Linked DNA regions of Caenorhabditis elegans. The protein of the gene in region 4 interacts with the protein of the main gene of each other region in a pairwise test. Each region holds a gene or a part of one and is shown on either strand. Other genes may lie near its edges.

Region 1 (6,637 bases), on a different chromosome or scaffold from region 4:
ATACATATTTCGGCCGAAATTTTTGGGTAAAAACCTGTATTTTAAACCTTTTTTTAGTTATATAAGTTTTTGAACACAAAAGAAAGCTAAAAAAAAAGGCCCGTGCTAAATTTTTTTGGCTTAGCATTTCTTAAGTTCCAGAAAATTCCATACTATACCATGCTTTATTGTCTAAGCTGAATAAATATCATCAAATTCAAGAAAAATACATTTTTGTAAGCTAAAAAGTAAAGCTCATGGGGTGCAATATTAAAGTTGAGAGTAGAGTACGGGAAATAAATTAATGAACAAGTTGAGAAAAAAAACCTTGTGAAATTATTGCTTGGTTGGGGGGAGATAGGGGACTTTTAGGGTACAGTGATTAGAAAAAATTGGAATGCTTCAGTTGCTTGGTCCAGGAGAATGTTGAAGGGTTGCGGAATTTACTGAAAATTGTTCATAATTATCATTGAAATTAGATATGAATTTTTTTGAAACTTGGTCAGTGCGTAAAACCTTAAGCAATTTATATTCAAAACTTTACCAAGTTGCTCTCCGGCATAATGTAGGAAATATCATCCCATGGATGACGGTACAATCCCTGCTTCAGACGCGACTGATCCAAGTAGTGACCGATAAATCCAATAGATCTACCCAAAACGAAAAGCCCATTGAGCGATCCAATCTCGATTGTCTCCTCGGCCTCCTGCTTGGTGAACATGCCACTGTGGCGAAGGATATCGACGAATAAGATCGCAATCGCTCCGTCCACGTTGAGAATGAGGTTCGGTTTTTTGGCGGTCGTGATCTTCTCGACCTCAAGAGCATACTCGAACAACGGCGTCTCCTGGGCAAACTCCTTCTTGTCCATGGCAAATCTTTTCAGAATCTCCACACGTTTGTCAGGGTTGTTGATCTGGAAATTGACAATATTTGAGCTCTTCGGTATTAGACGTTCTATTTAGAGTACCGACTTGGATTACGCTAATTCTGACAATACTGACACTTGGTGGGTGTCAGAGTATCACGTCTCGGTTTGATGGTACACGTCAGAGTGTCCCATTTTAGTTTGATCTACGTAGATCTACAAAAAATGCGGGAGTTGAGAAAAACGTGCTGACGTCACATTTTTTTTGGACCCAAATTTTCCGCATGTTTTGTAGATCAAGACAACTTGACACCACGTAATGGTAAAATTTCCTGGGCACGTTGTTCCCGCAATTCTCAGAGATCAAACCGAGATGGGACACTATGTTTCTAAAATGAATCACTGTAGTACACTACTACAGTAACTACAGTGAGACATTTGTAAGGGTACTCAAAACCATTTTAGTCTCTACACTTACACTCTTCACACGATGTCCAATTCCCATAATATGCTTTCCCTTCTTTCTCATCTCGCTGACAAACTGATTCGCCGACCATCCTTGATCAAAAGCCTCAGAGAACTGACGAGCGGCTCCATCGAGGGCACCTCCGAAGCGATCACCAATGGTGAGTAGACCAGACGTGAGCGAAGAGATCAGATCTTTTCCAGCACGAGCACACACAATAGTGTTATGGGCTCCCGACACAGCTGGTCCGTGATCGGCGGTGAGCATCAAGCAGATCTCGATAAATTTGTTGGCATGTGGTGGGAGACGCTTCTGAAATGTATTATTAGTGGTGCTGAAAACAGGTCTCAATTCCCACCTGGAACCACAACAATCCCAACACTCCACCGATTCCCATATCCGACTCCAAAACCTTTGTAATCGGTACTCCCGCATAGTTCAACTCTTCTCCTCTCTCATCACAAATTGAGGTCATGAAGGAAGCTGGTTTTCTAATGAGTCCCAGTTCACGAGCCCACGCGTAATCCATCGGCACCGCTGGAGGTGGAACTTCTGGCTGTGGAACGATGATTTGTTGGCTGACAAGTTCGTCGTACGTCTGACGGATTTTGTTGCCAAGATCGTCAAATGACTCGGGGACAAGGGCACCTGAAGCACGGAGAGCAGCATTTTTGCAGGCAGCGGTTTCTCCGAGAGCATTTGCAGATGCTCCAGCGTGACCGAATTGAACCTCCGATGTGATGTGATCTGCACAGGTTCCGATGCACCATGCGACCAATGGCTTTGTCACCTTCTTCTGCTTGAGGAGATCCACAATTTTGTACTCTTCAACTCCACCGACCTCACCGAGAAGAACAATCATCTTCACACGATCATCATTTTGATAGCGAATCACGTGATCAGTGTACGTGCTTCCCGGATAGCGGTCACCTCCAATTGCAATACCTTCATAGACTCCGTTAGTGTTTTGTGAAATGATATTGTTAAGCTCATTGGACATTCCTCCGGAGCGAGATACATAGGCGACACTTCCAGGGCGGTAGAGCTTTGAGGCAAGGATGTTGTCCATCATTCCACCGGTGTTTCCAATCTTAAAGCATCCCGGCTTGATACCTCCGACGGTGGCTGGCCCAACAAGGGTGACTCCACGGTCATGAGCAATCTGAAAACAAGCATAATTAGAATCAGAATACTTCTATTTCCGGTGGGGGAAAACTTTACCTTCAACAGCTTTCTAGTCTGATTCTCAGGGACACCTTCAGCAATGATCGCAATAACCTTGATTTGTGGGAACTCGAGCGCCTCGAGAACAGTCTCAAATACAGATCTCATCGAGGCAAAAGTGACCATGATAGAAGCATCCGGATGAGTTGCAAAAGCCTTCGCCATCGACTTATAGGCTGGAATGAGAATTTCCTTTTGCCCAAAGTAGTACTTCTGCTTGTTGTCCCCAGTGAACGGGTAGGTGGACGCGACAACCGACGGGGAGCTTCTTCTGCAGACATAGTCAAAGTCCAGCATTCCTTGAATAGCCTTAGCCTGTTGTCCCCAGATGATGGCCTTGGTGTCGTCCTCGAAGAGTCCACGGAAGCTTTTCAGTTTGTTCTGTTGGGCAGTGGTGAGTGGGTGCTCAGTTGGAGTGGCGTTGGCTGCTGGCGAAGGTGGAGCTCTCTCAGTGCCTCCGGTCTGAAAAATGATAGATTTGAATTGTAGAAAAATGGATTCTTCAAGTTCACTAGATCTGAATGCACAGGGCATTTTCGATTTTTCACTAGGCCCTAAGTGAGCCCGCTTGTGGCTGGCCTATGTTTCCCGCTTCGCACCAACAAACGTGGTGTCAAAGTGTCCCATTTCAATTTGATCTACGTAGATCTACGAAAATGGCGGGAATTTAGACGCATACTTCTCAACTGGATTCGCATGACTCAAAGCTTGCTGACGTCCCATTTTTTCGGGAAAAAAATTCCCGCACTTTTTTGCAGATCAAACCGTAATGAAACAGCATGACACCTCGCACCAACGTAGCTAGTTTTTGGTCCTAAAAACCTACATTTCTCTCAGGGCTCAACAAAAACTGTCCGGTAGTCTGTGGAGCTGTCGGAACTGTTGGCATTGGCTTCACTCCGAGCGCTGCTCCAACAATCGCCGTCATATGAGTCTCAGGTCCGAATACATGAATTGGCAGCTCCAACTTTGTCGCAGCATCCTTGATTCTTCTGAGTCCCTCCTGGTAGTTTGGGCCTCCGCGACGCACGAAAATTGTCACCTTGTGCTCTTTGAGCTTTGAGACAAACGTTTCAAAGGCTCTGACGATTCCACCAAAAGTTTTAGCAACATTTGTGAAGTTGGCGATGGATCCTCCGATGATGAGGACTTTTCCATCAGGTCTCGGAGTACCTTCGGTCATCACGGAGAGGAGTGTCTTTGCGTATTCATAGGTTTGCGATTCAGACGGGTCTCCAGAGTATTCTCCGTAGTTGGCGAGTTCTGATGCTCCACCGAGGTCACAGACAGTGTCGCTGAAACAAATATGGCTAGACTTTAAATTCTATATTTTAGACTCACGTAAACACAACTGAAGCTCCACCACCAGCCACCATCGTCCAAACTCTTCCCTTTCTGTTCAAAATCGTCAGCTTCAAGGAAGCTCCCGTCTTCGCATCCATCTCCGAAATGTACTGCTCCTCTGACGTCAAATCACGTCCAAACGGAGCTGGGAACTCCACGTGGTTCGGTCCTCCATATGGTGTCAGACGGCTCTTCCACTTGTCTGCGCACAAGAAATTGGCGGTTTCATCAAGCCTAGCTGCCAAATCCAAAACATGAATCTGGTTGTTCAAAAGGACAAATGGATTAATCTCGAGATACGTGAAATGTAGGTCCTTGTAGGCTTTGTAGAGCTCTACCACAAATCTTCTGACAATGTCACTGTCCTTGAGTGGGCCCAGGAGGGTGGTGAGCTCTTCATCCGAGGGGGTCATGGCATTCTCGTTGAGCTGGACGGGGACGGATACAGTGCGAGCCTGGAAATACTCTCAGTAATTGGGAAATTGCAAAGGTTGAGTTTTTTTAAATGAAAATGATCCTATTTTACAAAAATGATAACTGCGGAGCAATTTGAATCCAAAAAAAAATTTCCGGGAAACTAACCTTTTCCTCAACATCTCCAATATCTACACCTCCTTGCTCATAGAACATGATGACGTCACGAAATCTCTCACTGTAGATCGCAATGTACATCTCATCCTTTTCAGTGTGTGCACAAAATGGCTCGACAATAAAAGTGTGAAGCCGTCCCTCGGTTTGACCAACTCTCACATAACTGTCACCAGTTTTCTCGAACCATGCCTTCAACTCTTGTGGTGTTCCAATCTTGACCAAACCCAGCTTTCCACGTCTTTTGATCAACTGGTCGGGCTTGATGACTCCCTTGTTATCACGTGCGAGCCACTCGTACTTGTTTGCAATTTCGTCAAAATTTTCGCCAGCCTTCACGTGAAACGCATGTGGAGCTGAGAGGAGTCCGCTTGGCTCGAAGTATTTGTAGAGAACCTGGAATAAAATTTAGATTGTTTTGTTGAGAATTTGTTAAAAATGTCAAATTGCAAGAAGTTTGGTGGGATCATTCTATTTTTAAATTAAAATTTTTTTTTCCAGTTGGAAATTTGCACTCACTTCTTTTCCAGATAACTCGCTCACAGCCTTCGCCGACATTGTTCACTTGTTCCAAAGAGAACGAGTTACCTGAAAGAAATTCAGAATTAGGAGGGAATACTAAAAAGCGTATGCCACGTAGCATAAAAAATTAAAAAAAATTCCACAAGAAGGAAAAAAGGAACTCAGAAAAAAACAAGAGAGGAATAAGTGTTTTGAGGCGAACGCAGGCGGTCAAAGGAAATTTGAGTAAACAACACGTTTTTCTGCTCCGCGAAGTCTGCGTCTCTAGCTTCTCCGGATTTCGCAATGTTAAGTTATTAATATTTTTGCATCAGATTTTTGAAACAATTACACAAAGTGTTCGAAAACGAATGTCTCTTTTATACCAATTTTTGAGCAAAAGTGCATTCACAAAAGGGCACTAACCAAAAAATTCAAAAAAATAGAAGAAAATTAGCTCGGGAAAGTGCAAAACACTGGAAGAGTTTTGTGTTTGGATTTTTAAAATGGGTCTGTCTTAGGTGTTAAGCTTAGGCATAGATTTAGGCTTAGGATTAGGCTCAGGCTGAGGCTAAGGCTTTGGCATAGGTTTAGGCTTAGGATTAGGCTCATGCTTAGATCTAGGAGCTCCAACAAAAAACTTAGAAAACGTGATTTTCCATTTTATTTTTGTTTTCTCAGTCTAAGAAAACAAGACCAAACGGAGAAATGCGAGAAAAGCGGCATGGAAATCAGAAACCTTTTGGGATTCAACTTTAGCTTCTCGCTCTCCGTTTTCTCCATCCCATCTATCCCCGTTTTTTCCAAAAAGAAAAGAGTTGCGGGGGCTTCTTTTTTTAAAAAAGGAAGAAAAAAAACGACTAAAAAGAAGAAAAACGTGACGTTCTGTGTTGGAGAAAAGGAAGAGAAGCAATTGAATATTCAGAATGGAGAATATTTTTCGGGGCTTGGCGGGTAGGGAAAAAAGTTTTCTTAAGTTTCTGAAGAAAGTGGACGGGTTAAAGCATTGGCTTAGGAAAGGATCACTTATAAAAGTTATAAACAAAGGAAATTATTGTGGTCAGTGCAAAAAAAAATGGTCAGTGCAAAAATTATAATGGTCAGTGCAAACATTTTTTGTCAGTGCAAACATTTTTCATCTGTGCAAAAAATTCTATTAAGTAATATCGAAAATAAATATTTCTGAACGATTTTGGATTTTGGATTTTTTTAGTAAATTTCTAACTGAACTAATCTATTTTCAATGCAAAAGTCTAGTTTAAAATTGCATCAGCTTTTCCTGTTTTACAAAAAAAACTACATATTATCAGTTACTTTCTAGGCTCCTGACCTTTCCACCACTCATTTATAGGAGTGGTCAGTCTTAAGATGGTGTGATGGTCTGTTAGCTACACGTGTATCACCTATCTCCTTATCACCGTATTTTAGAAAATGCCGCTAAAAACTTGTGCAAAAACGAAAACATGTGCGTTTCTCGTGGTGTTCCCACTTTTTTTCTCGCTGAGGTTCACCCGAAAATATGGTGCGATTCGAATTCTTATCACAACATGCTGAAGATAAATTGATAACGACTGATAAGGAAAATAAATTTGGAGAGATACGGATGTACCCGAACGACAGTGATCAATGGAGAAGGCGGCTACAAAATCCTACTTGAGAATTGGAAA
Region 2 (3,754 bases), on a different chromosome or scaffold from region 4:
AAAATATAAATCAAGACTCTAAATACCCTATTACTCATTTTGATGATTCGACTATTGACATTATTTATTACTAATTAACTCAGCAGCACCCGTTCCCCTCGAAAAATAAATTGGGTTTTGGGATACTGTAGTCTTAGTTTTGGAGCTACAGTAACCCACGATTGGCACGTTGAAACTCGCAAACATCCGTTTTTCTGCAGGAGTTCCATCCAAATTCCGAACTAAACATCCCAATTTACTTTGAGAAACCAATTTTCGGCTGAAACTGACCAATATTTTAAAATCGAGTGTTTTGGGGTACTGTAGTGAGTGCGCATTTTCAGCTTTGGACGTCTAAATTTGGAGTCATTAAAATATCATCGTCCTTACTACCAATAAATTAAAAAAGCCTCCGTGGTCAAGTGGCTCAAAATTTTGGCGTTCACGCAGACGTCCACTAGTTCAATCCCAGCGGTGGCAACTTTTTTTGCTTGAAGTTTTGTGTCATCCTAGAAAAGGAATTAGTTGAAAAAATTATGGTTGACATTTTATTGGGTACTATCAAACATTCAGGACTCACTTTTTTTCATTTATTTATATTTATTCATCAGGCAACAATCATAATGATACAATTACAACAAAGCAGTGAAGTGAAGGAAAAAAGAATGAATAAATAGATATAAAATAATCATTTGGACCCGCAAGAGTCCGGTGACTAAGTATGAGGGGGGGAAGAGGGTAAAACATTGTCAACAAAAAGTTGACCGGGACGTTTTCCGAACAAAATTTCTGAGACAGGCTTTTCTGAGACAGGCTTTTATAGTCATGTAGACGTGAGAGTTTCTGGAATTTATAAGGCTTTTGTGTGTTTGGTTTCTTGTAGCATGCTCAATACATATTAAATATAAACCCCCTCTAACCTATTTTCCGATTTTGATAGATATCTTGGTTTCGTAGTTTGCATTTTTAATATTGCAAGCTATACAAGACTTTTCTAATTTTAACACGCTCATGGAGCTGACGGAGTAGCATTCAAATAAATATAAAATACACATTTAATACAACAATTATGGTTTTCAGATGTATCCGTCGAAGCCACCACCACCTCCGTTTCCACCGAATCTTCCATTGGGATCTCTCATGAATGGTCTTCCGTGACTTCCTCCTCCACGTGGCTGTCCTAATGGGCCCAGTGGATTGAGATCCGGATGATCAGGTCCACGGAACAGGTCTGGAATGTTTGGATTTCCGGCGCGTGGTACACCTGGTGGCAAGAAACCTCCGAGGGGATTGTAGTATCTGAAATTTCGGAGATGAATGCATCAACCTTTAGGAAAAAAAATTGAAATTAAATTTGACAATGAGAAATCGGAAACTCACTCAGTATCCGGATCAGGAAAACGATTCCCGTAAGGGTCATGAACAGGATGTCTAGGAGGATGACGTGGTCCACCGATCATAAGCGGATTTTCATTACGAACTGGTTCATTTCTTCTCGCTGTAGTTCTCGACTCATTTGCTTTCTGGCAATACATTCCATAGAATTTTCGGCCGGTGGTGATCGTATTTTGTACAGTTTCATTTCCAAAATCATTGTTTAAACGTTTCTTCCAGAATGTGTTATCGACCGCATCAGATGTAAGAATTTGCTGAGATTTCTTGTTCGATAAAATGAGTTTTGCAACACTCTTGGGTGTCAAGTTTTTCAGAATTTTGTCACGCAGAGAGCCGAGCATCAAAATATGATTGAGAGTAAGAGCTGATCCAATAGCAAGCACGAGTGGATGAAGACCTTCCGACAAATCAGATTTCAGAGAAGACGAAGGAGTTACTGTGAAAGAAGCTGCGATGGAACGGAGACTGTCTGAAAAATCGAATTATAACTGACAATTTTATTTTCAAAACTTACTTTTTATGACATATCCAGTTATGATTGCTTCAAATCCTCCATCCTCACTGATGAAAACCTGACCAACTACTCCAGAGTTCTGTGGAACTCCTCGCTTGGTGCCTCCGAATTTTAATTCAAATCCTTTCGTTTCAGGTCCGTTCCAAGATTTCATGCTTTCCTCCTGAATGAATCACGCTTAATTTGCTTAAAAGTAAAGAATTAACCTACATGTTGCTGCTCATTGAGCATTAATTCTCGAGTTTCCTTGAGAATTTCCGATCGGAAATTATCCATTATTCTGTGACTGAAAAAAATGCTGAAGGAACTGAAAAGTTCAATTCAAAAGAAAGGTATTTAAACAGTAACAGCAACTGAATTGGAATCTGGTAATTAAAAAAAAAGTGAATTTGAATAGTGAATTTTCTTTAAATACTAAAAAAATAACAAACTAAAAAATGGAATGTAAATCTATTTATTTTTGTATTCTCTGGCTCCGAACAGCTTGCTTCCCACTCGAACACTTGTTGCACCTTGATGAATTGCTTGAAGGAAATCATCGGACATTCCCATTGAGAGTTCTACTGAATCCGCAGATTCACCTGAAATCAATACTTTTCAAGTTTTTGTTTAGAAACTTTGTGGATCCAACATTTCAAAACATTTCTTGAAGCATAAGTTTTATTTTTTGACGTCAACCACTGACGGTTCTCGCTTTGATTTTTCTAGAAAATCTGTTCACCTGTTTGTTCTGCCCATGTTTGTCGGACTTTGAAGAGCTTCTCGAAATCCGGATTTTCTCCGCTTGCGTGGCTGTAAAATTGAACTTTTATTTTATGGTAAATATTTAATTTATCGCTTGTTAGCTTGATCATTATTTACAAGTAATAATTAATATAAAACGTTCATTTTCATCATTTCTTACACCTATTTCCATTTCACCTGCCACTGAACAACTTTTTAGTAGGATAGTCGTAACAATAAATAAATATATACCTGTTGTCAAACGATCCGATAGTCATGAATCCATCAAATTTCAAGTTTTGGCATTCTTTTCGAATGAATTCCGCAAGTTTCGGTGCTTCTCCAATCTCGATTCCTCCTTTATTATCTTCTCCGGATGTATTTACTTGCACGAGAACTCGTAGTGGTGACAAATTGGCTCCGTGTTTTGACCATTCCTTCAAGATATTTAATTAAAATAGATTAATAGTCACTAAACACACCTTGTCGAAAATCCGAGCATGTTTCTCAGTCTCCACTGTTTCAACACACCAAAGTCCAGGAGAATTGCAAATTTTTCCAATCTAAAAATTTTTAAATGATTAATAAATAAGGTAAATTTTCCATCAGAACTAACTTTATTTGATTGCACTTGTCCGATAAAATGCCAACGAATATCTAAACATTTTGACGCCAAAACATCAGATTTTTCTTCAAGCTGAACAATAAGGAATCATTTTCAAAAGTTTTGTTGATGATTTTTCTCTCACTTCTTGGACGTAATTCTCTCCAAAATGACGCTGATTTTGAGAATAACATGCCTCTATTAAATCAGCAGACTTTGTTTTACTGACAGCAACAAGTCGACATCTGAAAAATTCATTATTAATTTAGTTTCGCAATAATTTCCGGTTTACCAACCTTTTTGTGGCTTGCGAAGCAGTAACGGCGTCGGCAACGGCTTCAATAATGTTGAATAGACTTTTTTGTACAATTTCTATAGACATTTTCTACCTGAAAACTATATTATTTAGTTCTAAACACGGAAAAGGAAGGAAACAACAAAATAAGAAATTTCTAGAGGGGGTACGTTTTCGTAAGGGGATTTTTTCGTAAGGAACGCTTTCAGTAGGGCAATGTGCGGCGCGCCTTTTCGCAAGCCCG
Region 3 (6,793 bases), on a different chromosome or scaffold from region 4:
AGAAAGTGAACGATAAATGTTTTGCTTCTTGGTATTTAGTGGAGAGTAAAAAGAAATAAGTGTGTGTGTGAGGAGTATGACTCATCGATTGGCCAAACTTCACGGCAATTATCGAGAAAGTTTTGTGTGTGGCGATGGTGGTGGCAATGAGACAGGAGAATGAAATGAGATTCCTTGGATTCTGTCTACCAGGTCAATTACCTTTGATTATTTGAAAGAAAGAAGAAAGTGTCAGAGGAAACTAGATCAAAAATCACGGCAAAAGCGTGTCTGAATGGAAAGGGCATCTCTGTAATTTGAGAAGACAGGCTTGAGAAAATGGAGAAGCCTGAACAACGAAATTGAAAACTGGGAAGAAAATTGATATGATTTTTTTTCCGAATATCGGGAATCTGAAATTTGAAGATCAAAAAGTGGGATTATTGATCCCTTCGTGATTTTTTCAGAACTAAACAGCTGACTTGATTAATCAGGTTCAGTTGGTGAACAGAGGTCGAATGAAAGATGGCTAAGGTGAAATGTTTATTCAATTACACTGAATAAATATTACAATGAATGTATAAAAATCTTTGTTATAAAAATGGATGGTAGTGGTCAATTTTGATGGCGCTGAGCAAACAGAGCTTGGTACGACTCAGAGAAGGTAAGAATGGAACAAAACAAAAAAATGAAAGCATATTTAATAATGAGAGAGACAATTACAAAAAAAAACAAGGAGATCCAATCAAAGAACTCTTTTTGGTGATTTTCAAGGGAGTTAATTTAGTTGTTTGTTAAAATGAAATAGCGACAATTACCGGTAAAAAGAGTGAAAAACAATTGAAGATTGAGAAAAGTTATTTGAAAACAAATTACATTTACAATCTATGTCTTCTCTTGTATTCTTTACAGCAGATTTCAGTACATCTTTGCAGAGAATGGAAGTTGTTCAATGTTCCTTCACACCCTCCATATTGATATTCAACACAAGTATCTGTGTTCGCATCATAACCATATCGCTTCTCAAAGTTATTGCATGGTCCCGAGTCGCGAGCTGAGAGGCAGAAATCCATTGGGTCCTGAAAATAAAAAAATAAATGATAACTTTCTCCATGATAAGCGTGTAGTGCCGTTTGATCCGTATTTGTTCTCAACCTGTTTCACTCTTTTTCAAACTTTTCACTCTGGAAAAGCTTACCTGGCAACAAATGGAAACATTGAACTCAGAAGACATGTGGCAAATAAATCCTTCCGGACATCCCTTGTCAATACCGCACGAGGTTACTGTTGATCCCTCAATCAATGGAATTCCATGCGGACAATAATTTCTGTATTCTGGACATGCTTCCATACAAGTATTTTGACTAATGAAGTTGTTTTCGTTTCCAGCAACTCCTCCGTATGTAAATGGAGCACATCTGTTTTGTTTGCGATCGAAGAACCATCTTGGCAAGTCTTCTGATCCTGTTCCTTCCTCTACGGCTTGATCACACGGGTCGATTTCTGAATTCAATAATAAAATAAGTGTCTAATAATAAATGGAATTCACGCATACTTCTCTTAGGGCAGCACAGCGTAGTGAGAGCACTAGATCCAACGTGACAGTACGAATTTTGTGGGCAGCTGTTAACTCTCTGTCCACCAGTACACAACATTCTTTCTCCGGTGGTGTCAACCAACGGATCACCATAACCGCACGGATTCATTTCCTTGCAAGACTGTCGGCACGACTGTTTGGTCAGGAAGTTGTTTGAGTTTCCTTTCATTCCCTTGTAAACAAATGGACGACACATTTGAATTCCTCCATCAAAGAACCAACGCTCGAGTTTCTCAACTCCTTGACCAACCTCTAATGGGAGATCACATGGACGACGGGCTGGAAATAGAATGCAAAATTGAACAGTTGCGTGAACTAAATGATATCTCTCTAGTAGTCTACTCACTTCCAGGGCAACAGTTGGTTGTCTCGGGGGCACCTCCAACATGACAATAATATCCGTTTGGACATGTGTCTTCTCCGCCGCAAATGACTGGTTCTTTTTGCAAACTAAGCAGTGGTTCTCCCAAGCTGCAAGGGTTTGGAAGTACTGGACAAACAAGACCGCAATCTTCAAGAGTCAAAAAGTTGTTGGCATTTCCCTTCTGTCCTTCGTAGCTGAAATCGCGGCATCGGCGAGTTTCTTTGTCATAGTAGTATCTTGTAATTGAAAATCCTCCTGTTCCAGTAGCCAATGCTTGTTGGCACGGGTCACCATCTATGAATATATATTTTAGATAGAGTTAAAATTTTTAGAACAAACATACGTTTTGGACAACAATAATTCTCCGATCCTTCAACTCCAATGTGACAGAAATGGGTGGATGGACATCTCTCATCAGGAGAGCACAACTTTGGTTTAGTGCCAATCAAGAGCGGTTTTCCATTGCCGCATGGATTCTCAAATACTGGACAAACTGACAAGCAGTCTTCCTGTGTTAGGAACATATTCTGATTTCCTCCTTCTCCGCTGTAAATGAACTTGACACATTTGTTGAGGTTTTTGTCAAAGTGCCATCTTGTCAGATGAGAGTTTCCGTAACCCTTCGTCATTGTGAGTTCACACGTATTCTGAACAGCAGAGCAGCACACAGTTGTGTCTGGAGTTATTCCGACGTGGCACCAGTGCGAGCTTGGGCATGGCGAACTTGGGCTGCATGTGCGTGGCTCGTTGGTAGGTGTCATAAGCATTGTTCCTGATCCACATGGATTTTTGCATTCTCTTTTACACTTAGATTCACATTGTTGTTTTGTGAGGAAGTTGTTCTGGTTTCCTTTAGCTCCATTGTAAGCAAAAGACTTGCACTGTCTATTGCATGACTTATCTGCTGGGTCAGCGTACCATCTTGTGAGATTCGCGGTTCCTTCTCCGGAAAACATTGGAAGAGAGCATGGATCTGGGGAAGCTCCTGGACAGCATACTGAAGATTCTTTGGAAGCTCCAATATGGCACCAATGTCCGGCACTGCATTCAGTTCCATTTGAGTTTTCCATTCCACATTCCTTCTTTTGAGCATAATTAACTGGGACAGGGCATGGGTTATCCCACTCTAAAATACAATGTAAAATCTTAAATAACGAAGTATTTGTTGAAAGTTCCTACTTTGACATTTTTCTTGGCATTGTGTATATGACAAGAAGTTGTTCTCATTGCCCTTGGTACCCTTGTACATGAACTCTGTGCATCGCTTTGAGAAAGTGTTATAGTAGAATCTCTTGAGGAGGGCTTTACCCTGTCCGACGTTTATCGAGAGTAAGCACGGATCGGTTACTGTAAAATTAAAATAAATAGAGCCTTGGCGAGAGGTAGAGAACAAATAGAGTAAACGTTTGACAAAAAAAAATGCTCACGTCCACTGTTCTCACAGCAAGCAGTAAGTTCCGGGTTCTCGCCAATATGACAGTAATAGCCGTTCGGGCACATTGAATCATCGTTCGGTCCGCAAATAATACGAGATCCATTCTTATATTTAGCAGCGTTACTGAATTTGCATGGGTTTGCCTCATCAGTCACAGTTTCTAAAAAATCAAGAGTGATAATATTATGTGATATTGTTAAGTACTGAAGTAAAATCTAAACCTGTTTCACATGCATCCACACATTGAGCTTTGGTGACAAAATTATTAGCGTTTCCACGGATCCCCTTGTATAAGAAACGTCTACATTCTTTGGCCTGATTATCAAAATACCATCTAGCTACAAGTTCATCTCCCTCTCCAGTGTCCCTTCTCTGAGCACATCTGTCTTCCGAAGAAACTAATGGGCAACAAGCGGTAGTGGAGAAAGATGCTCCTGTGTGACAATAGTGATCTTCTGGGCATCCTCCGTTTGGTTGGTTCAAGTAGTTGCATGAGATTGGAGTGGAGAATTCGTTGAGAAGTGGCTGGCCGACGGCGCATGGGTTGAAGTATTCTGCAAACGGTGGAGGGAAAGGTGTGAAGATGCATTTTGATATAACGGGAGTCGCAACTACTACTATATATCTATTTGTTTGTTTATTATTGACACATAATTATCTTTTAAGTGGTTGCTTTGAAACGCAATGAAACGCGTTCAAATTGTCGGCGGCTTGGTCAGTTTGGTTGAACTGTTCGATCACGCAGACAAACATTACAAAAAATGCTGGGTTGGGTGGGTGGTTTGGTTGCAGGCAAAAAACTTACTGGCTTTTGATGTTTGTTTGCGCTCCGGACGCAAGTACTTTGTTGTTGGTGCAACAGTAGTCTCCGGTGCTGGAGTGGGGTCTGTATGTGATGGAGCCATAGACGGCGTGGATTCTGGAGCTGGAGTTTCAAGAGTGGTAGTTGTAGTTGGTGGCTAAAAAATAGAGAATGGAGATAAAGAATTACTAACTATTGTTCTGCTTACCTGAGTAGTAGTTTCAGTGATTAGAACTTGTTGTGTTGTGATAGGAGCTCCAACAGTTGGTCTAGGGTAAGTGATTGGGGGAAGAGTGCTTGGTGGCGGAGTTGGCAGTGTTGGAAGTGGTGGAGCTGGATTAACCACTGGCCTAATGGGACCTGGTGCAGACGGAATAGTTCTAATTTGTACTTGAACATTTGGCCGGATATCTGTTATATGAATATGACAAAAAACGAAACTATGTCGACTTACTTGTTGGTCTGACATTCCACCTGTATCTAGTCTGTTGATTACATCTGTTTTGACAATTAGTTCTTACTGGATAATACATTGTTCTCTGTTGTTGTGGTTGCATAACAGGTCGCATCTGTTGTTGCATATAATACTAGAAAAATGTGGTTGTTGTAATTCATCTTTCTTATTATTTTACCTGTGATAAAACCAACGGCACCAAGGCCACTATGAAGAGCAGCAGTCTCATGGCTTCGCTGTAAAATGAGTAAATTTAAAATGAATCTAGTGGATATGAGAAGCAAATCGGAAGCCAAAAGTGCTTGGTGATCCGAGTGTAGGTCAACTTCGTGAAATGAGTGACCGCTGGCCGGAAATGTAAACAGGGTGGTCGAACTCCTTGTGGGGAGGAGCTGACGGCGCGCGGGGCGGGAGCTTGATCTAAAAAATGGCTCGCAGGTACAAGGTACCGTGTTTTGTGAAAGGGAAAATGAAAATAGAAAGAGGAAAATGGAGTTCTTAACACTTAAAGGTCAGGTAAAAAGCTCAAACAAACAAAAGTAGGGATTTCGAAACACTGCTGGTAAAAACCTAGAACAAAAATGATATAATCATGTTTTTGAAATTGGGGGTTCAATTTTAATAGCTCAAACTGCTCTTATTATTTGGATTATAGTCTATGTGTCCTCCAACAAAAAACATCGCATAATTTTATTATTTCAAAAAACGTTGTAGTGCCACTTTGCAAAATAAGTTCATGCAATCAAATTTGTTTTTAACCTGAAAATTGAATTTGTTTTTATTCAATACCAATTTTTAATTTATTAAGTGTATCAATTGTTGCGTCCCTATTTTAAAGCAGGAGTCATTTTGACACCATAATCACTAATTTAGATGCAATTATACATACATCTTTAGTATTTCTGATTGCAAACTATTATACATAATAACAAAACCGTTCGAAAATTAGTGTTCCATTTTTTGTTTGAATTGCAAAAACTTTCGAAATTTAGTATACAGCTACATTAATAGAAAAAAAAACAATTTTTATCATTACCACCCGCGCAATAAACTTAAATTCATTGCACAATCTCTATGTACTTCCCGTCTGTCCAGTTCAAAGTTTGATAATTCTCGTAAAGTCGCCCGCTCCCAAAAGCTTCTCCCTGTCCACGTCCGTTTTTGACATGTAGTGGACATTGTCGCGCCCCGGTGCTTACCTATTTCTCTTTACATTCCGCTGTTTCTCGTCGTCATACAGACAGCTAACTCAAGACGTACGCCGAAAAAAGAGTTGTGCTCTCCCCCTCTGGATAAACATTGACCTAAATGACAACTATTTTGCTCTGCGTGACACTTATACTAACTGCTTTGTTTGGACTTCGTCATCACTTAAGTTTTAAAAAATTGATAAGAAGTTATCGTGATCAAGTGTGGTACACGTTGGAAAATATGTATTCAGAATAGTGTTTGAATGTCAACGTTGTTAATAACCAGTCTGGAATTAATGTTGAATGTTGAAATTGTATTGTAACTCTGGAGTGTGTAGTAAAGTATTAGCCGTACACATATTTGGAACTGAAAGGCTTCTCGAACCGTTCTTCTTCAAAATATACTTTAAAACAAGTATTTTGGAGTATAAGGTCTACAATTTGTGGATCGCTGTTTTCAAATATTCCAAGTGAAATCTAAAAAGCAATTCAAAATTTTCTTTAAAAACCACCCGTAATAAATATTTTTTAAGACTAAGCCAATATATGAAAAAAGAAATAATGTAATTAAATACTTATTTTTTATAATCTTTACTGATTTTTGTCTGTGTTTTATACGTGTAACACAAAAAGTGAACACTGAAACAGTAATTTCTCAAACATCGAAACATCACTCTCGAAGAACTAAGTTCTTGTCCCACTTCCTTTTTGGCATTTCCAAGTAATCGAAAGTAGCCGTAGTGGCAGGAACTATCCACAGCTATTATCACCGATCATCATCAAAAAGGGGGTTCTCTGGCGTTTTTTGTGTCCTCAAGTCAATTTCATTTTTCTGCACGCTTCTCTGTTCACACTGCGAACCTAAAGTTCGCATACTCTTTCGTTTGGTTTTTTTACTTCGCGCCCGCGCCAGTTTACACTTTTACTTGCTGGTTTCATATATCGTTCAGGATTACCGAAAACGAAGACGTC
Region 4 (5,019 bases):
CATAAAAATTCTAATTCCTAAAATTCAACGGAAGACGCCATTCCTCCTCATATTTGGGCGATGTCGCTTCTTTCAGCCTCTTCAACGATCTCCTCGCGCCGTGGTTCTCAGCCAAGTGTAAATATTCTCAATTTTTAGTTCATAAAAATCTAGAAAAATCAAAAAGCTAACTTGAATACTTAAATGGATGTTCTCTTTTCTCTTTCTAATCTACTTTCATCATTCAATTTGATATGACATTCCCTAATGCATAGTGATATTTGAATGAACGAGACAATTAGAAGAACACCCAATTGATTCAATTTTATACTTTAAGGGTTTGAATTTCTTTCAAGACAACAAAAGAAACAAAATTAAAAAGGAGAGAATGAGAAAGTAGGGCTTGCTGATGTAAACTTTTCTTAAAATTAAAATTGAGCATTGCACCTGCCAACTGATACGCAAGAAGAAACTTATTCGAGCTAAAAAAGGCATTCGAGCAGAAAATGCATTTTATTCATCTCTGAATATCATATTAAATTGTTAAATTGTTTGATAGCGGAAACGAATATGAATCGGAAATGAGATGATTCCATACTCTTCGAACAATTTATTCACGTTATTTTTAGAGGAGGAAGAGGAGGAAGCTTGATAGTTCAAAGGGTATTTCAAAGAGGCATTCTGTCTGGAAGCTTTGAATTTTCAAAATCAATGACTAATCGATATTTCAATTTTTTAACCTCCTTGATTTACAACAATCGTTCTATCGGTGAACCAAATTCAGTTAACACAAACCATTGATTTTAAAGTTTCAAAGATTTTTGTTTTCCTTTAGTAGAGAAAAAATCAAAGAATTCAAGTATGTTGCCATCAATTTTCAGTAAAAAAGTGGCAAACAAAATTTGAAGAGCTAGGTGCATTTCTACAACAATTTTTAAGTCCTAATTTTCAAAGTTTAAAGTCTTATTCTTTGATTTTTATTTTGAATTTCATTGATAATGTTCAAAGTATTTCCAGTGAGTCATTTTGGCAGAAAGAAGAACATTCTCCGAGCATGAAGCCATGTTGATCAGATAAATGACGCGAGTCAAGTGCAAAAGATTATTGTGTTATACTTTTTTATTTGATACTGAAAATTGTAACCTTTTCAACTGAGAGATTGGTTAAATGTACCTGTGTTTCAGAAATATTTTAAACCTATGCTCGGAGAATGCTTGACATTTTTTTCAAAATAAGTTCTGATAAAGAGCTTTCGATAAGAATTCAACAAGCATCTGCTGGCGGATGTACATAGGAGAGGGAGAAAAAAGAATACTCATAAAAATACATTTAGAATTGCACAAAAAAGTTGAGTTTGGAAAAATTTTAATTCGAAAAATACCCAAACCACAGAACAGGTACTACTTTTGTAGCGAAACTATATGACTTCCATGGCAGTAAGTCCAATATTTTTAAAGAATAAATAATTGGCATAACTTTTAGAAAACAAGAGGCATTTAGACTGCGAAAGTGTATTGCACTTCAAAATTTGAAGCAATTTATTATCTTAATTTTTCTGAAATCGGACAAGAAAAGAAGAAGTGAAAGGAGGCAAAAAAGACGAAGCTGAGCCAATCGATGGCCAAATTTTTTAGAACGACAACGACTGAAGACGACTTAAAAATATGAGCATACGGATAAACAGGGAGATTAACTGGCATCCGCCAACAGATTCACCATGCAAAGGATTAACTGTCAACTATAACATTTCTTTTATTTTCTCCTTTTTATAGAAAATATATTTATTCACTATTTCATCCAGGTTCGTCCGTTGACGTACTACAGCTATGCAACCAGATTTATTCGAATAAAAAGAATATCGTGATCTTCACAATGAAGCTCGTATTTCTATTTCAAAAACTTGACTCATTTTTAAGTAGTGATGAGATGCAATAACATTAAAATTTAGGTGCTTACGTAATAACCGGGCCAATCGGAAACAAGACGAAATCTAAAACGAACGCATTTGCAAAGTCGAGCTACTGGCTACTAGTGAAGATTTTTAATTTACATCGAGTTGAAAAATAAAGATAAAATAATAAAAATAAAGATGTTTATGATCCATGTTCTTGATTAGGATACATATTATAATACTTCGGAAATGACATACATACATAGGTATGCATACAAGAAGCAATATCGCTTCATTAACAAACTATCCTAGATCATAATTTAAAGAAAAATGTTACACTTTCAGTAATTGGACTTTGTCTCAATTTTTCTCTATTTAATGTATCCTGGCATACAAAGCGTATTATAGAAAAACCGTTTCCGAAAAATTTTAGTTTTTCAGATATTTCGAAAACAATTCGATTTTTGCAAAAATATATTAACATTTTGACCATTTTCCTTTTTTTTCAGAGAAAACATTTCATGTTTTTTCTCATCAAAATGAACAACTTTTGGTAATTTTTTAGTTTTTTTGTTAATTTTCTAAAAAAATTTTTCTTTAACTATAGAAAAAAAATAAAGAATATTGAAATAATTTTAGCGGTTTTGGAAAAAAAAAACATTATCTGCATCGAAATTCGACATAAAAAATATTTGCAAATAAAATTTTCAACTTATTCTTGATAACTTAAAAGCTTAATTACATGGACAATAATATGCAATTGATTTATAATTAAATTGAAAGTTAAAAATAAAAGAATAAAACAGTTAGAACAAATTCTACCATCATGACTTTTACAGAAACTTTGACACGAAAAAACAAAAAACCACAATAAAACGCTGTTCTCTATTATTTCCGCTTTCATCGAACGAAGAAGAAAATCATCCGACAATCGGCAATTCTATGCACGCAAAACATAAAAAGAACTGACAGAGACATGTGCAAAGAGATTTTTTTTAGGGGGAGATTTCTATTGCAATGAGAGAGATAATATCTTGTTTTATAGGTTGCATTTTTACTTTTTTCGGTTTGGTAAGATACACTCAGAACTCACTTTTCTGTTGCATTACTTGGGCTCTTCTTTTGATACATAACGACTCCAAAATTGAGCATTTGATTCTGAAACTATAGAAAAAAAAAAAGATTGGCTAGAAACAAAAATAAAAAGTTAGATTGGAGTTTTTGGAGGGAAACGTTGAGTAGGCGAAACGCCGGAGCTTATCAATCACTATGGGCAGTTGAGTGGAGAGAGATTTGTGATGTGAATAAAATTATAAATAAATTGAAAGTATTTCTGATCCTCTCACTCTCTCTTTCTTTCCTGTTCTCAACATTCACCTCTACTAATCCCCTTTTTCCAGCTCATCACAAGGTTGCTCTTCGTTTTCTGATTTTGTGTGCTCATGGATTACTGTAACATTTCTAGATTTAGATAATGGTAAAGTGTATGGTGAATGGTGACATATCCGAAAACATGAAACTTGAAAATATTAATCTAGTTAAATACTTCTGCCGTTGACATTTGAGACCAGCTATTATAATAATCTCCTTTTTTCCACTCTATAAGCAACAATTTTCAATATTTTGACATCCTGTGAATTGCAAAAAATGAATATATTTTCTAAGGGGTTCGATAGTAGACATGAATTTTTCAGACGTGCTCGCCTGCCTGCTTGCCGCTGATGAAAGGTTTGATAGGAAGATGCTAAATTATGGCAGGAGTAGGAAGTTGTTCCTAACTGTCGAGCAGTGACTTTGCACTTTGTTGTCAGGAAAATTTGGTTTAACCGTTAATCCTTCAGATGAAGTTTGATTCCTGGAAGTTTTCTGAATTTGAGTTGTATCACTGTCTGTATGTTTAAATACATAAACTCCCGTGAAAAAAATTGAAAAAAAAAACAAATACGACGAGGCAAACTTATTTATTTCCCAATATAATTTTACTCAAAATCGTCGTAAAATTTTTGCAATGAAGGTGAGTTGGAGTGCGGGAGTTCGAGCCTGCCTGTACCTGGCTACGCGTCTACCTGAAAATAAAATAAGACATCAGAAATTCTAGAATAAGTTTCCTGCAATGGGTCGCCTGTAGTATGATTATTTAAAAAAAAGACAAATTCGGTATTCCTGGTATAGTAAAATGTAATTTTCAATTTTCAGAAATCTGAGAAAAAAGAATGTAAGAGTGAAACGACCGAAAAGACTGAAAGGACAACAGATGGCAGCAGTATTTCAAACTCAGTTATGATCAATTTTCCGGACGACTCAATGTATCAAAATGTAGAAAAAACTAAAAGCGTTGGAAGGTGAGCAACTTTATCCCAAATATCCCAAAACACTTTTTAATTTCCAGAGTAACTAATGAAATGATTGACAATTATTTATTGAGATACCAATTTTTCCATGGTTTTGTGCTCCAAGAGCTACAACTGATCTTGTTGAAGACGAACGGAGACTTTCTCCTGAGATTGTCGCATCAACCAGAGAAGAATGCGAAGAAGCCGACGACTCCGGACAAAAGTGCCACTGATCCGATTCCACTGACTCGTGTCATTCTTGTTCTGTCCGTCAATATCAGTTTGTTTTATTTTTTGTTTTTTTAACTTCCTAGCAGCTTGGAAACTTATTCAATGAACTTCTCATAAGTTGTCAAGCTGTTGCGGGGAACTTGCCCTCACTGTTCGTTGAAAAACTCTAGATTTTACAATTATGTTCCCTATTCAGCACAAAAAACCGGCACCACACGAAGTTTCTATGGGGATCTGGAGGATGTGAAGAAAGAGAACATGGATATGCATTTGTTTATTGAAGAAACCGCCGGCAAATGGACCTCGTTTTATATTGAGCGGCGATTCAAGTTTCCGACTATTGATGAGCTTATCAACTACTATAAGGTCAACCCGATTTGCTATCACAATGTATGTTTGAGTGCTTTTCTAGCCATTTCCAGACGGTCTTTAATTTTCAGACACGTGTATTCTTGAAACGCCCTATCGTGCTACAAGACTGGGAGCTCCGGGCAGAAGGAATTGATATGACTCCAAAGAAGTTGGGAGAAGGTGCCTTTGGAATAGTCTACTTGGGACGATGGGCACAACCGTTTAGTGTGGATC

Evidence for each region.
Region 1: the proteins of kin-4 (region 4) and acly-1 interact in a two-hybrid assay, tested with the Caenorhabditis elegans proteins (one large-scale study listed by BioGRID).
Region 2: the proteins of kin-4 (region 4) and F09E5.7 interact in a two-hybrid assay, tested with the Caenorhabditis elegans proteins (one large-scale study listed by BioGRID).
Region 3: the proteins of kin-4 (region 4) and C34F6.1 interact in a two-hybrid assay, tested with the Caenorhabditis elegans proteins (one large-scale study listed by BioGRID).

The regions. Positions count from the first base shown.
Region 1 is NC_003284.9:1,477,962-1,484,598, reverse strand, and holds acly-1 (putative ATP-citrate synthase), read right to left. Parts: upstream 5,058-6,637; 5' UTR 5,028-5,057; coding exon 4,989-5,027; intron 4,866-4,988; coding exon 4,464-4,865; intron 4,337-4,463; coding exon 3,879-4,336; intron 3,833-3,878; coding exon 3,364-3,832; intron 3,000-3,363; coding exon 2,535-2,999; intron 2,476-2,534; coding exon 1,672-2,475; intron 1,626-1,671; coding exon 1,326-1,625; intron 896-1,325; coding exon 512-895; downstream 1-511. UniProt on the Caenorhabditis elegans protein: Catalyzes the cleavage of citrate into oxaloacetate and acetyl-CoA, the latter serving as common substrate in multiple biochemical reactions in protein, carbohydrate and lipid metabolism.
Region 2 is NC_003280.10:5,350,519-5,354,272, reverse strand, and holds F09E5.7 (PI31_Prot_N domain-containing protein), read right to left. Parts: upstream 2,187-3,754; 5' UTR 2,165-2,186; coding exon 2,099-2,164; intron 2,052-2,098; coding exon 1,889-2,051; intron 1,844-1,888; coding exon 1,360-1,843; intron 1,279-1,359; coding exon 1,056-1,278; 3' UTR 514-1,055; downstream 1-513. Other genes in the region: F09E5.8 (Pyridoxal phosphate homeostasis protein), read right to left, coding at 2,339-2,469, 2,610-2,680, 2,864-3,048, 3,094-3,174, 3,228-3,308, 3,361-3,460, 3,512-3,597.
Region 3 is NC_003284.9:11,191,975-11,198,767, forward strand, and holds C34F6.1 (BPTI/Kunitz inhibitor domain-containing protein), read right to left. Parts: upstream 4,868-6,793; 5' UTR 4,861-4,867; coding exon 4,810-4,860; intron 4,765-4,809; coding exon 4,632-4,764; intron 4,589-4,631; coding exon 4,386-4,588; intron 4,335-4,385; coding exon 4,181-4,334; exon of another isoform or gene 4,041-4,180; intron 3,930-4,040; coding exon 3,597-3,929; intron 3,536-3,596; coding exon 3,368-3,535; intron 3,288-3,367; coding exon 3,120-3,287; intron 3,067-3,119; coding exon 2,284-3,066; intron 2,235-2,283; coding exon 1,923-2,234; intron 1,856-1,922; coding exon 1,535-1,855; intron 1,483-1,534; coding exon 1,178-1,482; intron 1,059-1,177; coding exon 858-1,058; 3' UTR 511-857; downstream 1-510.
Region 4 is NC_003282.8:11,423,745-11,428,763, reverse strand, and holds the start of kin-4 (non-specific serine/threonine protein kinase), read right to left. Parts: upstream 3,023-5,019; coding exon 2,964-3,022; intron 2,631-2,963; exon of another isoform or gene 2,610-2,630; intron 1-2,609. Other genes in the region: F22B3.8 (Tyrosine-protein kinase), read left to right, coding at 3,879-3,884, 4,067-4,212, 4,260-4,483, 4,631-4,824, 4,875-5,019.